Caenorhabditis elegans: one gene and its partners. The protein of the gene in region 2 interacts with the protein of the main gene of each other region in a biochemical or structural test. Each region holds a gene or a part of one and is shown on either strand. Other genes may lie near its edges.

The links.
Region 1: of the proteins of kvs-1 (region 2) and mps-1, one has a biochemical effect on the other in vitro, tested with the Caenorhabditis elegans proteins (2 studies listed by BioGRID, with this or other methods).
Region 3: of the proteins of kvs-1 (region 2) and mps-3, one has a biochemical effect on the other in vitro, tested with the Caenorhabditis elegans proteins (one study listed by BioGRID).

Annotation. Positions count from the first base shown.
Region 1 is NC_003280.10:6,292,233-6,295,990, reverse strand, and holds mps-1 (MiRP K channel accessory Subunit), read left to right. Parts: upstream 1-1,629; 5' UTR 1,630-1,839; coding exon 1,840-1,919; intron 1,920-2,019; coding exon 2,020-2,167; intron 2,168-2,369; coding exon 2,370-2,459; intron 2,460-2,506; coding exon 2,507-2,613; intron 2,614-2,723; coding exon 2,724-2,873; intron 2,874-3,140; coding exon 3,141-3,339; 3' UTR 3,340-3,466; coding exon of another isoform or gene 3,467-3,479; 3' UTR 3,480-3,532; downstream 3,533-3,758. Other genes in the region: nyn-3 (RNase NYN domain-containing protein), read left to right, coding at 3,467-3,479, 3,533-3,644.
Region 2 is NC_003284.9:7,705,416-7,709,173, reverse strand, and holds the start of kvs-1 (BTB domain-containing protein), read left to right. Parts: upstream 1-2,042; 5' UTR 2,043-2,087; coding exon 2,088-2,128; intron 2,129-3,074; exon of another isoform or gene 3,075-3,215; intron 3,216-3,758.
Region 3 is NC_003279.8:760,190-763,669, reverse strand, and holds mps-3 (MiRP K channel accessory Subunit), read left to right. Parts: upstream 1-1,820; 5' UTR 1,821-1,833; coding exon 1,834-1,876; intron 1,877-1,952; coding exon 1,953-2,050; intron 2,051-2,302; coding exon 2,303-2,626; intron 2,627-2,682; coding exon 2,683-2,721; 3' UTR 2,722-2,822; downstream 2,823-3,480. Other genes in the region: Y18H1A.8 (TransThyretin-Related family domain), read right to left, coding at 3,241-3,352.

The DNA of each region.
Region 1 (3,758 bases), on a different chromosome or scaffold from region 2:
CAACGTCATCTGACTTTGCTTTGCTTTTTGGTCGTTCATAACAGTTGTTGAGAGTGTGAGTGTAAGAAGCGATGACCCAAACAGTTTCTCAATAATTTTCCATCTATCCAACAGGGATTCAACACGTTAACCTGAAACATTGTATTCATTTTAAATCGGGCATTGGTCTAGTTTGAATTTGAAGTGTTAAACATCAACTTTGAACAGTTAGATAGTGACTCTAGAGCAACGAGCGCCCGATACGAAACATTATCAAAGAAACGTATATTTCAGAACTAGAAACATAGCAAATTCATGCTTTACCAACTGCTTAATTCGCTTTCCTTCCTTTCAATTTTTCGCACATTCGCGTGCCTGTCAACTGCCTGATAGGCTTTCTGCCTTCTTTCTATAACCCCCATCATGCCACACACGCATTTTGTGTGGCATGATGGGGGCTATAGAAAGATCCGAAAAAAATGTCCAAAAACTACACAAACACCGCGGTTGAGATCACTTTTTTTCGCTTCCAATTGGGTTACAGTGAATTCTGTGGAATATATCAAGATATTGAAAACCAAATTGCCATTTTAAGTTTTAAAAATTTAAAATGGATACATTGTCAACTTAAGCATAAAGGATCGTTGGCTGGCAAGGAAGAAAAATCACAAAATTTGGGGGAGCTTACTTTTTTGACTTTATAAATTTTCACCAAATGTCACTTCCGTCACCGGTAACCAATCACAAAAAAATTTTCATGAAATGTTTTTTAGAAACAAGGATACTTTTATTATATAATAATGAAAATAAATCATTGGATAAATCTCATTTAAAAATCTCAATTAAGCTAAATTGAGCCTACTTGCGCGCCACGGTCGACTGGGTTTTTGAGTTTCTTGAGGTCTGTGCGGCTGTAGGTAAATGTTAAGTTTTATATGTCATTATGTTCGATTTTTTCTATTCAATAAAATGTATATATTAACTTGTTTTGATCGCTGTCCAAGAAAAAGTTACAGTTCCGTAAAGTGGTCGCCATAATTATGGACCACCCAGTAGTTATCTGAATCAGTTGATTAGTTTCCCTTCTTTTCGAAACTTTGATAATTTCTGGTAGAGCAGAGTCAACCAAATGAACATCATATAAATACAAATATTTATTCAGTTGATAGTTTTTTGGTGTATCATTTCACTAAAAAGAGCTATGACTTGATGGGTGATTACATATGAATATATGTAAGAACAAATAGTAGAACAGTGTAGGTAATGGTTTCGAGTTTGATGTTTTTTCGTTATTCTCCAAATCAGGAAAGTGTGAATAAAGTCATTACTGGTTTGAACTGGTCTTGAACTCTTTAAGTGGCTCTTGAAGTGGATCTCGGTTCAAATTTTGACTTTGTCACACACTAGTGAAAAGTACATTAGTAAATGAGTCTCTCAGTAAAAGCCAACTTTTGGCAATTTCCGATGGCGACAGTTTTTATTTTGGTATACATCAAACACAAACACTTTAATCCCTTCTTTCTCCATACTCTATACTTCCATTCAATGTCCTCTCCGATGATAATAAAAAACATGTGAGTATGTCTGCGTCTCTTCCAGAATCTGCGCACACAAATATGTGCTGCTATGGAAATGCATGAAAATCAAGGGAGGAAAGCAGTCTTCGAGAGCAGTGGCGCCAGGGCTCGTTTGTGCACCACGTCGTCTTCTTCTCATCGATTAGTGTGTGACACCTACTACAACTCATCATATTTCTGAAAGTTCATTTGACCTAATCATTTGTTTCACTTTCTGTCTGATCGTTTTAATTGATTAGTTTTTGGCGTTATTAACTCTGACTGACAGTACTCTAATCTTTCCATGCACAAAAATATCAGTCCCACGTGCCAAGAAGGCATTCGAGAAGCATGCATCACTTTGAAAAATGCTTGTGATCCCCAGTGAGTTTTGATATTTTGTGACAATTAATCGGGGAAAAAAGACAAACAAAAAGTCAAACTTTGGTATGAAAATCTCTTAATGAAAAGTGGCAATTTTCAGAGTACTTGACAAGGCTGCAATCCGAATGAGAGAGTACGAAAATGAGTTCGGTCGAATACTTTATACAATATCAATTTTAATAATGTTCTCATTTGTCATTATTCTCCTAATGGTACGATCAATTCGGAGAACACAATCAACAGTTGAGGTACGTTTGGAATTTCACAGTAGACAATCGAACTGTATGAAATTGTATGAAATTAGAGAGGACCGTAGGTTTTTGTATGTTGTTTGAAAACAAAAACCCGGTCAAATCAGAAGTTTTGTTACAAAATTTTAATAAATGTAGAAATTTTGAAAAAATGCTAATAACTTCAGTATTAAGCTACATGAAGTTCTCTATATTTCAGATGGATTCGCTCCTTGATGCTATGCGAATTCGAGAAGAATTAGAAATACAGGAACGTAAAAGAAGACGATTGATGAGAGCAAAAACCCAGGTATATTTATGAAAATACATCGAAAAAAAATTAATTCAAAGTTGTAGGTGACTGCATGGCTCGTGAACAAAAACAAAGAGAAAGGACCAGAAAAGCGAAAAGATAGCGAATGGAAGCCACTTCCAAATGGAACAAGACCAAGAGGACATTACAGGTAATTAGCAGAATTTTTTAGAGAAGTTATAATCAGGGAAACTAAAGAATTAACAGAAATGGTTTTCTATTTGCTTTTATATAACCTTTAATGAATAATTATAATTACAGCATATCAACAGTCACATCAGACATTCCGGAGATTGTAGTAAGTGCTGACGACTGCATACATTCTGATTTTCCAAATCGTCCACATACTCCTGCAATCTCAATGATTTACGATTTTGGAATTGCGTCACCGGATTTAATAGAGCCCGATAGGTGAGAAAAGATGAAAACAGATTAGTAGCCAAATATGAGACACTACTAAAAAATGGCTTTTTGGTGGTTTTTATAATATTCTAGCGGTGAAACGTTTATGAAAAATGTCGAAAGTCTTATTTATAAATGCAAAATAACAACACAATCGTATTGAATTTGACCACACCGGCGTTCTAATAGATGAAACTTAAAAATGAAACATTTCATACAATAACAAAACATATTTCAGCAAATTCAAACGAAACCTCAAAGAATAATATATTTCAGCCGTAAGCCATCAATTTCCTCTTCAACAGCAATTCCCATGTCATCTTCGTCATCTTCATCAATGAATTCATTGATTGAACCAAATATGAATTCAATAAAATCAAATCCTCGAACATATTCGCTTGACACAAACGCCTCCACGTCATCGAGAACTCCTCGTGTTGATTGTGACGATAAATCATTTAGCTTAGACGTGTAATTTTGTTCTCATTTTTATATGCATTACTTATTTATCTTCACCATCTTCATTATTTTGTCCTGTGATCGTCAAATCGATTCGATTTTCAATCAACTTGTCGTATATTTACACTGCTTATGTACATTGGATGATGACTAACAGTAATTCTTTTTTTCTGGTTAAAATTGAAAAAAAGAGAAATGAAGTATTTTAGAAACCGATAAAGAAAATGCTTATTTCAAACCACCGACTCAAGAGGCAATATCGAGACCGCTTGTCATTGATGGATGCAACATTGGAAGAAGTGCCTCTGGATATGCTAGAACGTGGGTTGTCCAGAATATTTTCTCAATTCAATGCTTCCAATCATTACAAACTTCTGATATTGTTGAAAATTGCTTGTTTTCAGTCCACTCATTAAAATTTCGATGATTTTGAGC
Region 2 (3,758 bases):
TCAAGGTGCAATAAAGAAAAAAGGTATATCTTCCTGAACTTCCGCGTAGCTCAAAACTTGTGAATATTGTAAAAATCTACACAAGTACCGAAATATCAAAACATTGTACTTTTGACATATTAGAACGCATATGAACGGTTTTAATTGTTTTTTGTTGTAAGAACCACCCTTCTGACTATCTTTCCTTTTGATCAAAGCAATTGAAATAAAGGAATAATAATAAGCTACCTTAACATATAATCTACGAACTGTAGAAAATTCCAGAACTTTAGAGAACTGTTTAGAAACTGAACTTTAACGAAATGTAAGTTTTCTAATAACCATGAAAAACCTGTTTTCTTAACAGAAAAAAGTAACACAATCGGAAACTTCATGTATTTTCTTCAACTAGGTTTTTTTCGTTTCTTCTCTTCTGAATTTATCTTTGATGTTTCTTCTCTTCTGAATTTAACTTTTTTGAAATTAGTATAAGTAAATGTGATAAGTTGTCCAACCCCTTCTCTGAGAACTGTCCAATATTTATACGTTATTTCACAAAATAGGTATAAAATATTGAATATGAAATCAAAAAAACTACCTAAAATGTGAAACAAACTGCTCAAAAAAGAAGAATCGAGAATGTGTTTCAATACTAATAGTGAAAATAAAATGAAACATAAAAAATTAATTTGATGTGTGTTTACCACCGATCCATTTTGTTTCTAATGAAGATGTGTTTCGTTTCTGTAAAATTAAATTTACCGTTTTCAAAAACCGAATTTTTAGTTTTTTCTAGTCTTAATGTTTTATTATCGTTGCTTCGTTAATGTTTTCTGCACCTATTCAAACTTGATGCTGCATAATTCACAACAACCACGTTGAAAAAGTCGTTACATGTATTTTTGAAAATACTTACTTCTTAGACAGCCAATTCAGTTTTTTCCAGTTCTTCCACTGAGCTATTTTTTTCAAAAAACATATGTCTGCCCGCATACTTGGATACTTTCCTGTATGCAATTTTTCTGAGGTCTCAGAAATCGGACACTCATCCGCTTTTCTTTTCAGCGGCTAATCTGTTGATAACACGATGAACGTTTATATTTGTGAAACGATTTCGAAAAATTGTGCAAGATTATCTATGACGGCCTTCACTGGAATTTGGATATCCGTTCATATGTTTTGAGTCATTTTCAAACTAAATTTTTTAATTTTTAATTTAATTTCGAATTCACTCGAAAAATTTTGAAATGTTTTCGTCTTTTTTTAATATATTCCCAAAACAACAGCCACATTAAAAAAATTATAATTTCTTTGTTATACTGTTCATTTTTTAAGTGTTGAAAAATGCTATTAAAACTCCCCCTTCCCGCCATAATTTTCTATTTCAAAAATCATTTGCTCTGGGAACTTTTTGATATATTTATGACTTTGACTGGTTCATATGAGTTGGTTCACTGCAGTTTTTTGCTAAACATAATTTTTAGTTACGATAGTTTGGAGTTTTTTTCCCGGGTAGCAGCTGTTCCATTTAATTCATTCCAAGTTTGCAGATGGAAATGTTTTTTCTTGTGTTCAAATTTCATTCAATTCGAAAGTGCTGTCAGGAATTCCCACATGACGGGAGCCTGGTGAACACAGCCAAGTTCAACGGTTTTACGATCAAATCTGCGATATCTTACAGCAGAATTTGATTCATTTCATCGTCTATCCTCCAATCTTCGGACTTCAAAAAGTAATTTATTGTGATGAGTCCCACACGTTCTGAGGTTTCCGCAAGTGTTGAAAGACGCCAAAGTGAAATGAAAACAGCTAAAATAAGCGATGACCTCTGAGATTTTTGAAACTTTCGTTTTGCCTGCTGGACTTTTAAGCCCCGCCCACATTTTTTGTTCTCCTCCCACATTTGTTCCATACCGCTTCTTCAAGTGCCTTGTTCTTTAGAAAAAGTGGCTTGTTCGTTTTCAAGATTTTACAGGAAAACAGGAAGAGTTGATTGAAGTTCAAGTATCATCAATTTTTCAAACTCAATCAAAATTCTTGTTTTTCACATCTTGTTTTCCTTTTTTCAGATCATTCGTCGTCTCACCTTTTTGTGGAATCTGTGCAACATGAGCACGGAAAGGCTGATGTATCTCGATTTAAATAAAGGGTAAGTGTTGAGTTTTTGTTTTTGTTTATTTAATGGAGATTTGATGTCGTTTTGACTGGTTTGATTGATATAAAAAATTTTCTCAGGTCTGAAATTTAGAATTTTTTTTTCAAGTTTTTCAATGTTTCAAAATTGTTCTAAAGAATGAACGCAGAGTACGGCCACAGGGGAAATGACTCAAATTTTTCATGTGGTTCTTAAATTACTAAATATCATAATAAAACATAATAAAAATTTTTTGAATTTTTATTTCGATTTGAAAATAGTGAAAACTTTATGCCACTTTTAAAGATATCTTAAGCACTATGGCATTAACCCTTTTCTATGTTAGAATGGGAAATTCTTAAAAACTAAATGACCAAAAGTTGCAACTAAACAGTCGAATAATGTTCAGAATTCACTCAAATTTTTGTGAGCTTGGGTGAATTGCCAAATTTACAAAAATGTGGATTACTTAAGTTATTTCCAGCGCTGTCCCTAAAAGTGTTTGAATACGGTTAATTTAAAAAAAAGTCCAATGAAAAAATTAGCCTACTATGTACGTCTCTAAAATCTCATAATAATAACCAAAACTCTCTGAATCTGAAGCAGTTAAAAAACTTAATTTTTCCTGAAGCTTATATTCACAAAACTAAAACTATAGTTTCTGAGAATATAACTACATTTATTCCGTTTTACTCAACTAATGAGCCAGCTTCCGAACTCATTCCCTACAGGTTTTACGTCACTTTCAATCTACACAATTACTTGCTTTGTGAGCATTTACCAAAAACAAAACTTAAAATCAGAGACTAAAGATACGAACCATACCTAATTCATTCTTGTCAACAAAAACTATCACAACCACAAACTTTAAAAATTTCAACTACGAAGCCTCTACTTCTCTCATCGTTTTATCCACATTCACCATACCCCTTACTCCGGTTGCGGTCGGACACAGGAAAAAGTTGAACAAAAAGAGAACATAGCCGCAGATGGGGGTTCAATTCATCAATTAGATCTCTGCCACTTTTTCTTTCGTTTCCGAATCTGTCTCACATTCTGAAATAACTAAAGACGCTGAAAATGATGAGGCGATGTAAAAGCTTGCGGTACGTTTTTTTTGTGTGTTTCTCTGTGAAATGGTTTTTTGGTTTTTGAAAAACTATCGTTAAAAAAAAAAGAAAAAAAAAGGAAAAAACCAGCTTTGGTATTCGAAAAAAAAACGAAGATTCTGTGATGTGAAAAGGAGTTCACCATGAATTCCTGATCAAGACTTTTTAGTCCATGTTCCTCTCGCCTCTAAAGCTATTTCCTTTTTTCTTATCTTTTTGTTCAGCTTGCAAAAAGTCGAAGATCCGAACCAAATCGTTTTCGAATTTTTAATTTAGAACTATGAAATTTATTTTTGGAATGAGGAAGGAATTTGAGCAATGCTTTTATTTAAAGGTTTTCTGGTCTTTTGTATAAGTCTCCCCCAACGACTTTCGGATGCACATATTGGTTTCCTGTAGAGTTGGAATATGTCAATTAGCTGCACTTTTCTTTTTTAGAAAACAAATGAAATGAGGATCAATATTGGATTTTTTATTAAAATTTGAGTGGAAATCGAAAAAAATGGTTGAGAAAAAAATTGGTTCATTGGGAAAGA
Region 3 (3,480 bases), on a different chromosome or scaffold from region 2:
TTACACGTCTCCAAACACACACCGTCACCTTCTACTCCTTCTTCCAAATAGCTGAAGACGATGAAGAATCCTGTTCCGTCTCGATGTCTGGGCGTCCTCTACACCTGTATGCACTCTCTCTCTTCACACACACGAAAAAGGGAAAAGCGCCCTGTAAAAAAAGGGAGAAGGAAGACAGAGAAAGGGACGAAAAAAGTGAGAATGATTGAAATCTATCCTATCTCTCCCCCTTATACCGTCTAATCACTCTGTAGAAGCTTTTGGGCAGACGGGACGAGACGCATACTCAAAAAAACAGGTAGTTTGTGTATCGGCGCAGTGATATGATTGAATAGCTTATTATTAGATTATCGAGATTGTCATAACAAGGAAAGGGCGCTATTGCCTAGCAACACGCCTGCATTCAGTCTTCCTACCTGCCTGCCTACCTGAATCATACCTACATCTGCCTATGTGCCTGCATGCCTGCCTACCTACCTCCCTGCATACCTACTCACGTGCCTTCATCATGCCTGCAACATGCCTACATCTGCCTACGTGCCTGCATCCTGGCTTGCTCTTTCTACGTATCTGCCTGCACATTTACATGCTTGCCTACCCGCCTACCTGTCTTTTTTATGCTTACCAACCTCCGATCCTGCCTGGCTGCCTACCTACCTGCCTACCCACGTGCCTTCATCATGCCTGTAACATACCTACATCTGCCTACGTGCCTGCATCCTGGCTTGCTCTTCCTACGTATCTGCCTGCAGATTTACATGCCTGCTTATGTGTCTTTATTATGCCTGCCAGCTTACGAGCCTGCCTACCTGCCTATCTGCCTACCCACGTTACGTCATCATGCCTACAACATACCTAAATCTGCCTACGTGCCTGAATTATGGCTTGTTCTCCCTACGTATATGCCTGCATATTTACATGTCTACCTACCTGCCTGCCTACCTACCTGCCTGCTTACCTACTCACGTGCCTTCATAATACCCGCAACATACCTACTCTGCGTACACATCTACCAATCTGCCTACCCACGTGACTTCAGCATGCCTGCAACATACCTACATCTGCCTACGTGCCTGCATCCTGGCTAACTCTTCCTACGCGTCTGCCTGCCTGCCTACCTGTCTACCTCCCTACCAGCCTAACTAGTTACCTACCTACCCACGTGCCTTCATCATGACTGCAACATACCTACATCTGCTTACATACCCACATGCCTGCCTACCCCCGTGACTTCTCATGCCTGCAACATCCGCCTACGTGCCTGCATCTTTATTATGCCTGGCAGCCTACTATCCTGCCTACCTACCTGCCTACCTGCCTAACTGCCTACTTGCCTACCTGCCTACCTGCCTACGTTGTCGAACTTTTACATATTTCTAGTCCCCGTAATTTTCTTCTACCTCTCACTATTTTTTCCTGAAAGCGAACATTTTTGTATTCTTTTCAGAAAAAAGTAGTACACAGACGTACATGGCGTACTACAAAATGCAACAATTTGTGATCACAAATTACAAAAAAAAAACATTGGGAGTAGGAACGGAGAAATAAAAGAAGATAGGAGATGATTAATTACTCTTGATTTGATTGTTGGTTACCTGGTTTAACAGGTAAATTATGACGTAACGTGTGTGGCCTAGAAATTCTGCAGTTTTCTAGGCCACGAGGTATGGTGTCAATTTTGCTCCAATTTAATGGAAAAATCACAAATTTTTGGTATTTTCCGTGACCCTCACCCCTTCCCCCTACTCAAAAATATTATAAAAATTAAAAAAAAATCCCACGTCTCTAATCAATTTTCCCAAATTTCTCCATTTTCTCATTCATTTCCTGATAATGTCCACCTCCACTCAGCGACCACCGGCGCCAACTTCTGGCTGTTAGTTTGAAACGCGCTCTACCGCACTGGTAGTGCGGTAGAGCGCGTTTGCATATTTGTACCTCCATTTTTGCAGCATCATCGACGCCATGGACCAAAGTAGTGATATTCATAATTATTGGCATTCTCATTGTAGCCTTCATCGTGTTCGCCGCCGCTTCCATTGTGAAATATGTGAGTTAAAGGCCTAGAAAAATTTGAAATTCTGTTGGTGGCCTAGAAAATGTGTTATTTGCTTTTGTTGGTGGCCTAGCAAAAATCGCGGTCATAGAAAACTGTTGGTGGCCTAGAAAAGTTTTAGGTGGCCTAGGAAAATTTCTATATGGCCTAGAACTGTCTGTGATGGCCTAGAAAATTCCGACATGGCTAAATATATGTCTGGTGGCCTAGAAAATCGCTTGATTGCCTAGAAACTCTAATTTTCAGATAAAAAGCAAGAAGCAACAAAAGCAGCCAAAGAAGAAAACAAAAAAGAGCACAAAATCGCGGAGCAAGAGTTTGAAGAGCAAACAGTCTGCAGTAACCCCAAAAAAAAGAGCATCTCCAATTCCACCTCAGCCAGCTCCGCCATCATCTCCCAAACCAACTGAAGAATCTGCGACACCATCCTCCTCATTTGCTCCGTCAACTGAGCCAACACCGACAGTTCCAGACAAGGTTGATGATGGCTCCGAGGACACGGAGCACAAAGAGCAAGAGCAACAGACTGTTCTGTGCACTTATGGCAATGGATGGAAGTCTAAGAATCAGGTTTTTAAAAAATGCAGATTTGTTTTTTTTTTCAACAACTTTAGAACATTTTTCAGCCTCCCCACGACTTCTCCTTCTCAATCGAATCTGAATAATGCCAACAATGTAAAAGCTCCCCGTGTCACCTGAAAAGTCTCCAAAATCAACCTCATTTCTTTCGTTTCTACTGGTTTTTATTGCAATAAACTTGGGTTGGAATTGCTTTCTCGGGGGGCGGCGCGCGACTTGGTGGCTTATATTTTCGCTAGTTTTCAAGATATTAAAAAAATTTTAACCACAAAATTGTAGAAAAAGCATTGGAGAACAGTTTTTCAGTTGGCCATTTTTTGATAGAGCAAAATGTAACCGAGATATAAGCTCTCGAAGCTAAGAGGTAAATATTGGTCGATGCACCATGTACCGAGGCAGGCGTAGGTTGCCTTGAATGTAGGCTTTGTCACATGCCTATCTTAAACCTGTTGGGCAAAAAGTGGAAGTTAAAAACACTTTTTGCTCATTTTCAGAAAATCTTAATCATGTTTTAATTATATTTTTGTTAATTAGGAAAAATAATATATGTAGGCTACCTTGTAGGCAGGTAGGCAGGTAGGCTCGAATATTGATGAACAATTTTATCAAACATTGAAAATAAATATCTTGGACATCACCATCGCCTTTGTTCCGATTACTTCGTTTGTCCATTCACCGGCATTGTTCAGATCAATGTTGCGTGTTTCATCGTACTGCCTGAAAATATTCATTTTTTTGAAAACAGAAATGCCTGCCCTAGAGCTTGCATATAGGCGCCAAAACGCCTGACAACTGCCTCGGGCCGCGCCTTCTGTACAGTGCGGCGTGGAAACCGTAAAGTGTCG